3 linked regions of the Saccharomyces cerevisiae S288C genome follow. Changing the gene in region 1 together with any one later gene gives a genetic interaction. Each region holds a gene or a part of one and is shown on either strand. Other genes may lie near its edges. The genes, in order: POS5, TKL2 and HXT15.

Region 1 (3,456 bases):
GGGATGTCTATTTAGCGCATTTATTCCTAATTCGGAAATTATTGAAATCCACACTACTTAATAGTGCTGCACCATTTATCTCATAATTATTGCCTACGCTAATGAAAGCAAATCTTATTCCGACTTCAAATTGGATCTCTCCTCAAGAAAAGAAGCTCAATGACCTATTAGAGTATGAATACTTGTAAAACAAATGAACAGCGAGTGCTTGTTTAACTTTTTTTTTTTTTTTTTTTTGATTTTAGGAATTGATACGAAACATAGTCTCTCTCCATTTTCTCCCACAACAGGACTGCAGTAAGGATGTTATTATTAATAATATATATATTATATAATTATATCTTCTTGTTAAGCATGTCTTCCCTATATGTCACAGTTTTCTTAAAGCAATAGAATAAAAGACACAATACCAAAAATTTCATGTCGAGTATGTCAGTTGAGATTTCTCTAGACAAAATGCAAGAAAAAATAAAGATCTCTACTTGTCAAATACCTTTAAATCTTATCAATAGAATTCTTAGAGAATCTCATTGAATCTTTGCATTCAGAGCGTTTAATCATTATCAGTCTGTCTCTTGGTCAGCCTAAAGCTAGAATTGAATCCTAAAAGTTCATTGATTCCTCTAATCCAGTCATTCTCGGTCTTGGCGACACAATAAATCCCTGACCTTTTAGGCTTTTTTGAATTATTAAAGTCATTTTCAGTTTTTCTTGTCGTCGGAAGCTGAGTACCATCTATGTATATAGTGCCGACCTCATTTATAACATAAATTTCATCACCAACATCTAAATCCTGTTGAGGAATACCATCAACAGAAAGTTTTACCACACTGTTGACTGGTTTTTGGTTCAATTTGGAACCTATCTTTATCCTAATGTGGGATGAATGAGGCAAAATCAGTGGTCGGAATGACAAAGAGCGAGGACAAATTGGTGTCATTAAAATAGCAGGGACTAATGGGGAAACAATAGATCCACCTGCTGATAATGAATATGCTGTGGAACCCGTTGGAGTGGCCAATGCAACACCATCTGCTGTCGTTCTTGTCAAAAATTCCCCATCAATGAAAATGTCCAGGTTAGTGAGATGAGGGGAATTACCCCTATGTAAGAATATGTCATTCATAGCATGGGTCACAATAGATGAGTTGCTATCCTTTTTTTTCAAATGACATTCTAGCCGTGTTCTATGCAAACATTTGGCTCTAGAGCTGATTACTTCCTGAAAGACCTTTTTATGCTCCTTAAAATCAAACGGTGATAGAAAGCCCAGAGTGCCCAGAGCAAATGCTAAAACCGGAGGAACTTGCGTATTTCCGAACATTGATACGCCGTGTAAAATAGTCCCATCACCTCCCAATGTCACCAATAAGTCTGTTCTGTTTACGATATCTTGTTCAGGACCAGTATAAAGTATATGAGGTCGGTTGGGATCATTCTCCAAAGGAGATTTGAAATCCTGGGAAATTTCTTCTGCCACATCGGGTTGAACAATGACGTTCACCTCGGGGTATGACTCATGTAAATGAGTTATGAATTCAACCATCGCTTCTCTTGTGGATGGAGTCCATGGTTTTTTAGTTATATAAACATTTTGTAAAGGGTTCTGCCAGATTAAAGATTGTAATTTGGAATTTGGTGGGGACACGAAATCTGCTGATGAACTACTCCTCAAGTTATTTACTGGCTTTATTTTTACAAACTTCGAGCCGCTCTGTAACTTTAGGGAATGTGAATCCAACGTACTATAGAACCTATACCATTTTACTGGTTTATTCAATTTAACCCTGACAAACATTTTAATCAGTATCCTTAACCTTTTTATCCTTTTATTTATGAAACAGCGAATAATGAATACTTAGTCTTCTCCTGCCTTTTTTTATTTTTATTTTTTTTTCAATTTGGAGATTTCGGAAAATTGTGAAAATGTGTGAAAAGCACAAAGAAGAGTTGAGAACTGTGGAAGTTTCTTAAAAGTCGCAACTTAGTGATGCATATAGATACATGCAGCATTTCTGACAGTTACAGTTTTCAATAGCCATTGTGTGATTTAAATAGTGCATTGTTCTTTGTAACAATCTTGCAGTTAGTTTTACTTCGGTGAACTTAAATTTAAATTACTTGTAACGCATATATAGTACTTTGGTTAAAATTGTGTATTCCACATATTTACATTCTCGATTAAAAGGATTGACTTTCATAGCTTATCTAATAACTAGATCAACATTTCAAGTTGATGCCATGTCTTTTTTCTTCTTCTCTAATCTCAAACATTACCTGAACAGCAATAAATAGGCTTACCATTACCGCAGTCAAAAACTCCGGACTATGTGAATTGTTAAATATGCCCTTCAATAGAAGCTTCGTTCCCTCTGCACCCAAGCAAAATCCATAGACATTAATAATCATCATCATGCAAATATTTATTGCAGCACCGATACCGCAAACAAACCTGTACCAGCTTCTGAATCTATATCTACTAAAACAGTTAGTAATGTAGGTTTCGCCTAATAATAAAAGGACTGTTAACCACCCCCAAAACAACACTCGTAATTGGATGTCATGCCATATTGCTACAAATGAGAATACGGCAAAGCTCGTTAATATTTTGTTATTGGACCCGCCAAATGGAACATAGATGTAACGGATTACCCACTTGTTAAAACTTGTATGCCAGGCTCTCCAGAATCCCACTGTACTATAATTATTATCCACACATCGTAGCATATTTTCAGGTGCATCAATACCATCGACCATGGCCCACAGCCGAAAGAGCCTCCATGGGATCAAAAGTTTTAAATACATAATGTTCAAGTTGAACAGCGCGATCATAGCCTGTTGCAAGGGTGTATCATTGTTCCATGCCTTGGTCCTTGCTATTGCACCCACATAGATATAATGTAGGATAATTTCCATCAAAAGCAAACTCGAAAATACTTTGAGGGCATAGAAGCCTATGTTTTTTTTCGTTAGCGAAGGAAGCTTATTTTCTGATTGATAAAGGTAGTCATTAAAAGTGATAATTGGGCCCACTAAAAACAATGGCGCGTAAGTAATATAAGCGATAAAATTGATAAAGTTGTAATCCTGGATGTGATGTTCTGCTACCAGTCGTTCCTTTTCCTCCAGAACATTCTTACCTGACTCATAAATGGTTTGTAGAGTAGAACCAGATAAACTTTTTCTGAATTCAGGTCGTCTATCATCGTAATCTATCGAAGGTTGGCGGCTCAATTGTTCATGCCATCTTTCCAAAAAATCCATGGAGTAACTTAACAAACGCAATAATGTAAAATTGAAAAAAAAATCCCATCGAGGAACGATACCCTTATACCATTGATCCATGGGACTTAGGATGATAGCAATATTATTAAAGGGGAGATTTTTCATTTTTTGATTGATGAATAGTGTAAAGATACCATAGGACCAAATCGCAAAAGCGGCTATCAAACGCTT
Region 2 (3,759 bases), on another chromosome or scaffold:
AGAGAATCTGTATTCTTCACTTTGCCTGTCAAAAGTATAAAAGTCTGGCAGGGAAACAACTCTTGCTTTGATTTTTTTAGTATCGTACAATTTTTTGGCTGCATCTATAGAAATGGAGACTTCTGATCCTGTTGACACCAGGATAATATCAGGATTCTCCACGTCATGGATCACATAGCCACCCTTCAAGGCTTTTTCAAAAGAGGAATGCTCCAATTGAGGAAGATTCTGTCGTGATAAAGCCACAACAGATGGTGTTCGACCAGATTTGATAGCAGAATAATACGCAGCAGAAGTTTCGTTACCATCAGCAGGTCTCCATACATGCATGTTTGGAATAGCCCTCAAGTGAGCCAGAGTTTCAATAGGTTGGTGCGTTGGACCATCCTCACCAAGCCCGATAGAGTCATGTGTTGCAACCCAAATGACTGGATTACCAGACAAGGCGGCTAACCTAACGGCTCCTGCAGCATAAGAGACGAAGTTCAAAAAGGTACCACCGTAAGGCTTGTAGTTTGCACCAAAGGCAGAGATACCGTTCATAATGGCACCCATTCCGTGTTCCCTCACACCGTATCTAATGTACCTTCCTGCATAGTTACCTAGTTGGGTAATGGGAGGTTGGAAATCTACCGCGCCTTCCCACCTTGTCAGATTCGAAGGTGTCAAATCGGCAGAACCACCGATCAATTCAGGCAAAACTTGGACCATGTTCGTCAGCACCTGCTGGGATGTCTTTCTTGTTGCCAGAGCATCGTCGTCCGGAGTAAACTTCGGTAAATGCTTTTCCCAACCTTCCGGTAACTCACCATTCAATCTTCTTTGCAATTCTTTACCCTTCTCGGGAAATTTGGTTTTGTATTCTTCAAACATCCTATCCCATTCCTCATTAAGTTTTTGACCGGGTTCCACAACAGTCTTCTTATAATAATCGTACACCTCTTGAGGTACTACAAATGATTTATTTGGGTCAAACCCCCACCTCTTCTTCAACTGTTTAACATCATCTGCCTTCAAAGCGGACCCATGAACACCAGCAGTACCCTGTTGTAGGGACCCAAATCCAATTGTAGTAGTTACCTTGATTATGGTTGGCTTGTCCTTCGATAGTTTTGCCTTTTCCAAAGCGCTAGAAATGGATTCCATATCGTCGTCTCCTTTATCGACTTCCATGACTTCCCAACCATATGCCTCGTATCGCTTCAAAACATCTTCGTCGAACGAGTACGAGGTTTTACCGTCAATGGAAATGCTATTACTGTCATAAAACGTAATCAAGTTACCCAATTGCAGATGTCCCGCTAAGGAAGAGGTCTCCGAAGAAACACCCTCTTGTAAGCAACCATCCCCTACAATAGCAAACGTATATGAGTCGGAAATGGGAAAGCCATCCTCGTTATAAGTGGCGGCAAAGTTGGCCTGCGCTATTGCCATACCAACAGCATTTGAGATACCCTGGCCTAGCGGACCGGAAGTGATTTCCACTCCCGCTGAGTGGAATTCTGGATGACCCGGTGTCCTTGAGTTTACTTGTCTAAATTGTCTCAAGTCCTCGATAGAGTAATCGTATCCTAATAGATGGAGCATTGAGTACAGAAGAGCGCATGAGTGACCGTTCGACAGAACAAACCTGTCTCTATTGATCCAATGTTCATTGTTAGGGTTACAGCGCAGTTGCTTGAAAATTACATGGGCAACTGGTGCCAATCCTAGTGGTGCACCTGGGTGGCCAGATTGTGCGCTTTCCACCTGGTCAACGGAAAGTAATCTTAAAGTGGAAACCGCAAGTTTATCAATGTCGGAGAACTGTGCCATTTTTTTGTTCTTTTTTTGATTAGTAAGGTATAATCGTCTACGTAGAGGTTACAAATCGAAGACTACAGTAAGAGGGGACAAGCCAATTGAATATACGACTGAAATAAATGGAATAATTCTGCATTATTACACTCGTTTATATATCCAAACAGGTGATCTGGTATTCTCTTGACAACGAATGAAGCTCCCTATATTCGACACTCCTTATTCAGGACTCCTCCCAACAAGGAGAAGTAGGTGTTCCTTGAGCTACCCTTTAAAGCTGGGGAGATGAGCTTGCCCTTCCTGTCATCGCCATTATGACGAGAAAAGTAAAACATGTAGAATAAGGTCCACCCAAACATGTCCGAGCAATGACGTTATATATCGTGTTCCCTGTTCAAAGCATGGCATATGTGCCATTAAAGGCGAATTTTTGTCCCTAGCAAAGGAGAGACAGCGAGCCACCATTAAGAAGTGACTTGAAAGCAAGCGAAAATAGCTACACATATATATCAATATATTGACCTATAAACCCAAAATGTGAAAGAAATTTGATAGGTCAAGATCAATGTAAACAATTACTTTGTTATGTAGAGTTTTTTTAGCTACCTATATTCCACCATAACATCAATCATGCGGTTGCTGGTGTATTTACCAATAATGTTTAATGTATATATATATATATATATATGGGGCCGTATACTTACATATAGTAGATGTCAAGCGTAGGCGCTTCCCCTGCCGGCTGTGAGGGCGCCATAACCAAGGTATCTATAGACCGCCAATCAGCAAACTACCTCCGTACATTCATGTTGCACCCACACATTTATACACCCAGACCGCGACAAATTACCCATAAGGTTGTTTGTGACGGCGTCGTACAAGAGAACGTGGGAACTTTTTAGGCTCACCAAAAAAGAAAGAAAAAATACGAGTTGCTGACAGAAGCCTCAAGAAAAAAAAAATTCTTCTTCGACTATGCTGGAGGCAGAGATGATCGAGCCGGTAGTTAACTATATATAGCTAAATTGGTTCCATCACCTTCTTTTCTGGTGTCGCTCCTTCTAGTGCTATTTCTGGCTTTTCCTATTTTTTTTTTTCCATTTTTCTTTCTCTCTTTCTAATATATAAATTCTCTTGCATTTTCTATTTTTCTCTCTATCTATTCTACTTGTTTATTCCCTTCAAGGTTTTTTTTTAAGGAGTACTTGTTTTTAGAATATACGGTCAACGAACTATAATTAACTAAACATGGGTAAAGAGAAGTCTCACATTAACGTTGTCGTTATCGGTCATGTCGATTCTGGTAAGTCTACCACTACCGGTCATTTGATTTACAAGTGTGGTGGTATTGACAAGAGAACCATCGAAAAGTTCGAAAAGGAAGCCGCTGAATTAGGTAAGGGTTCTTTCAAGTACGCTTGGGTTTTGGACAAGTTAAAGGCTGAAAGAGAAAGAGGTATCACTATCGATATTGCTTTGTGGAAGTTCGAAACTCCAAAGTACCAAGTTACCGTTATTGATGCTCCAGGTCACAGAGATTTCATCAAGAACATGATTACTGGTACTTCTCAAGCTGACTGTGCTATCTTGATTATTGCTGGTGGTGTCGGTGAATTCGAAGCCGGTATCTCTAAGGATGGTCAAACCAGAGAACACGCTTTGTTGGCTTTCACCTTGGGTGTTAGACAATTGATTGTTGCTGTCAACAAGATGGACTCCGTCAAATGGGACGAATCCAGATTCCAAGAAATTGTCAAGGAAACCTCCAACTTTATCAAGAAGGTTGGTTACAACCCAAAGACTGTTCCATTCGTCCCAATCTCTGGTTGGAACGGTGACAACATGATTGAAGCTACCACCAACGCTCCATGGTACAAGGGTTGGGAAAAGGAAACCAAGGCCGGTGTCGTCAAGGGTAAGACTTTGTTGGAAGCCATTGACGCCATTGAACAACCATCT
Region 3 (3,759 bases), on another chromosome or scaffold:
TAAATTAGAGATTCAATGAATCTCTAATTTTTTCCGCCCGCCTATTGAACTTTTACTTTGTCATTAATCTATTCTGAAATAGGTACAGAGCGACGCCAGTGTAAACATATGTGTGATGGACATCAGCATTCAATGTATATCTTATCACACCAGTTTATCCAAAGATAGATGCAGTTTTGAAATTGGTTACTTAGAATATTTCTACTACATTTCGATAACAAATATAACTATTTTGAATTTAAAAGTTGAGTATCCAAAAATTTTAGAAATACATACAATTACTTCCCAATTACTTCCCAAATATTCTCCCCCCTGGTTTGATATCATAAAAGCACCTTATGGCAACAAGATTCCCGGGATAGTAATGCTATTTTAATGTATATCTATTTCTCGAATACTTGTATCTTTACTCCACTACCCCTATGCAAGAAGATAAGCGATAGTTTTTGTTCCTTCCTCTTCCTACTCTGTTAATTAACTGAAAATTATTTATATTGAAAAGGTACTTGTAGCAAATTAGACAAGGAATTCTCCTGGTATAAAGTTAGAGAAACAGAAATATGAAACGGCCACCCCAGGTATGAAATATTATCTTAAGAAGAGCCATGAACACACATGAATAGATTCTTGAGACATGCTTAGGGTAACAAAGACTGTAACGCCTTGTTGCAATACTGCTTTATTCAAATTTTTAAATTGTACGGAATTGTGGTAAGGAGAATGTGCAAATAACTTAGCATGAAACGGTGCTATAGTTGAATCATTGTATGAGGTAACATCACTTCAACGAAAAGAAGAATAAAATTGACCTGCACATGGAGAAAGCGTAATATATAAAAAATGTTTACAATTTTGGCGCACTATATGGGAGAACAGCTGCTGGATAATATTATGCCCTTACTTCATTTCACCATATCCGTTTACAGTTCAAATCTCGCCGTCGAGCCATAAATTCTCAAAATTCCTTTGCAAATATTTTGCTTACCTGTAACCGGCAGCTTACATTCTTCCGTCATAATTTCTCAGACGGATGACATAAACCATTTTTTCAGAATCCTCGATAACATAATCGATCAAAACAGTAATAAACATTCTCTTGCACAAAATGGACTTTGGCAGCAAATCCTGAAATATTGTGGAGTATTGCCAGAGGTAAAAGCAACGTTGAACAAATTATGACACTAGACCTCTTAGGCATAAAGATGACATCATCTAGGTACTCGTAAAGATCCTAACCACAGATTCCACCTTAAAAGACGACAATAGTAACTTTGTCCTTGATCTGGGTTACTAAATCAGCGATATGATCATTAAAGTGAATATCCCCTTCTTAAAATGTACCAAATATCTTATACGTTTGCAGTTTTTCTTTTTCTTTTTCTTTATTTCTTTGGTAAGGACTAGGTAATTATTTCCGTATTTGGCTCCTTTGGCGCTTAAAAAATCTTGTACGCAAATTTCCACAAGATATTGCGTGACAATTACTATTACTGAAGTTGAACTTGTTTCATGTCTCCGCCTGTGTTAACTCCGTTTTGCTTAACTCCGTCTCGTATTACAGTAAATTCATGATGTGCCTATGAATATGCAGCTAGCCTGCTGCAGGCAAAATTATTTTTAGCTTTGTGCGCTACAGTGGTAGTAACTTAAAACTTAAAAGCTAAAATGCAAAAACAGTAGAGTGCGGGGTATGCTTTTCTTTTGAACGTGCACTGCGCAGAGGCACAATTTAGCAAAGAAGTCAGGCAAGGTAGATGATGTAAACAAACGAGGACTTGTACTGCGCATCTTGAACCTTTCAATATCATAAGTGCAATCAGCTAAAGGTTTGATTTTCCGAATGCTCTGCAAAAAAGTTAAACATGGTTATATAACTCAAGTATGATAACTCCAGTGTTGGCCTGTAATCACCAACTTTCAAACGTATAAAGAAAGTAAGTAATTCATTGTTTGCTTCAGGTTTAGTCTTATTACTATCCATAGAAGTAAAACTATTGATATTATTGACAGAAAAGGAGGAAAGGAAACTAAAGGAAAAAAATGGCAAGCGAACAGTCCTCACCAGAAATTAATGCAGATAATCTAAACAGTAGTGCAGCTGACGTTCATGTACAGCCACCCGGAGAGAAAGAATGGTCAGACGGGTTTTATGACAAAGAAGTCATTAATGGAAATACGCCAGACGCACCGAAGAGAGGCTTTTTAGGTTACCTTATTATCTACTTACTATGCTATCCTGTATCCTTTGGCGGTTTTTTACCTGGTTGGGATAGTGGTATTACTGCAGGCTTCATCAATATGGATAACTTTAAAATGAATTTTGGTTCTTACAAGCACAGTACTGGTGAGTATTATTTGAGCAACGTGCGTATGGGTCTTCTCGTGGCCATGTTCAGTGTAGGATGTTCCATTGGCGGTGTTGCTTTTGCGAGACTTGCTGATACTTTAGGTAGAAGGCTAGCAATTGTAATCGTGGTTTTGGTATATATGGTTGGTGCAATTATTCAGATCAGTTCGAATCACAAATGGTACCAATACTTTGTCGGTAAGATCATCTACGGTCTTGGTGCTGGTGGCTGTTCGGTGTTGTGTCCAATGCTTTTATCTGAAATAGCCCCCACAGATTTGAGAGGTGGACTTGTCTCATTGTACCAACTTAACATGACCTTCGGTATTTTCTTGGGTTATTGTAGCGTTTATGGAACAAGGAAGTATAGTAATACTGCGCAATGGAGGATTCCTGTGGGACTATGCTTTCTGTGGGCTCTAATTATCATCGTTGGCATGTTATTAGTTCCAGAGTCCCCAAGATATCTGATTGAATGTGAGAGACATGAAGAGGCCTGTGTCTCCATCGCCAAGATCAACAAGGTTTCACCAGAGGATCCATGGGTACTCAAACAGGCTGATGAAATCAACGCCGGTGTCCTTGCCCAAAGAGAACTAGGGGAAGCCTCATGGAAAGAACTTTTCTCCGTCAAAACAAAAGTCCTTCAACGTTTGATCACAGGTATTCTTGTGCAAACCTTTTTGCAACTTACTGGTGAAAACTACTTCTTCTTCTACGGAACTACCATTTTCAAATCAGTTGGGCTTACTGATGGGTTTGAGACTTCGATCGTCCTAGGTACAGTGAATTTCTTCTCCACTATTATTGCTGTTATGGTCGTAGACAAAATAGGCCGTCGTAAATGTCTGTTATTCGGAGCGGCTTCAATGATGGCTTGTATGGTCATATTTGCAAGTATCGGGGTAAAATGTCTTTACCCTCATGGCCAGGATGGTCCATCCTCGAAAGGTGCAGGTAATGCCATGATTGTGTTCACATGCTTCTATATATTCTGCTTTGCAACGACATGGGCCCCTGTTGCTTATATTGTGGTTGCCGAGTCATTCCCTTCGAAGGTCAAATCTAAAGCAATGTCAATTTCGACTGCATTCAACTGGTTATGGCAATTCTTGATTGGTTTTTTCACACCATTCATTACTGGGTCTATCCACTTCTATTATGGTTATGTGTTCGTAGGTTGTTTGGTTGCTATGTTTTTGTACGTTTTCTTCTTTTTACCAGAAACAATTGGTCTATCTTTGGAGGAAATCCAGTTACTATATGAAGAAGGTATAAAACCATGGAAATCTGCATCTTGGGTACCACCCTCAAGGAGAGGAGCTTCTTCCAGGGAAACTGAGGCTAAGAAGAAAAGCTGGAAAGAAGTTTTGAAGTTCCCAAAGAGTTTTAATTGATCAATATGCGCGCTT

What was found.
Region 2: mutations in POS5 (region 1) and TKL2 together harm fitness more than expected from each alone (negative genetic interaction), as found in Saccharomyces cerevisiae (one large-scale study listed by BioGRID).
Region 3: mutations in POS5 (region 1) and HXT15 together harm fitness less than expected from each alone (positive genetic interaction), as found in Saccharomyces cerevisiae (one large-scale study listed by BioGRID).

What each region holds. Positions count from the first base shown.
Region 1 is NC_001148.4:189,748-193,203, reverse strand, and holds POS5 (NADH kinase), read right to left. Parts: upstream 1,799-3,456; coding exon 554-1,798; downstream 1-553. Other genes in the region: GUP2 (putative O-acyltransferase), read right to left, coding at 2,221-3,456. UniProt on the Saccharomyces cerevisiae protein: Phosphorylates both NADH and NAD(+), with a twofold preference for NADH. Anti-oxidant factor and key source of the cellular reductant NADPH.
Region 2 is NC_001134.8:474,623-478,381, forward strand, and holds the start of TKL2 (transketolase TKL2), read right to left. Parts: upstream 1,816-3,759; coding exon 1-1,815. Other genes in the region: TEF2 (translation elongation factor EF-1 alpha), read left to right, coding at 3,049-3,759. UniProt on the Saccharomyces cerevisiae protein: Catalyzes the transfer of a two-carbon ketol group from a ketose donor to an aldose acceptor, via a covalent intermediate with the cofactor thiamine pyrophosphate.
Region 3 is NC_001136.10:11,642-15,400, reverse strand, and holds HXT15 (hexose transporter HXT15), read left to right. Parts: upstream 1-2,040; coding exon 2,041-3,744; downstream 3,745-3,759. UniProt on the Saccharomyces cerevisiae protein: Probable glucose transporter.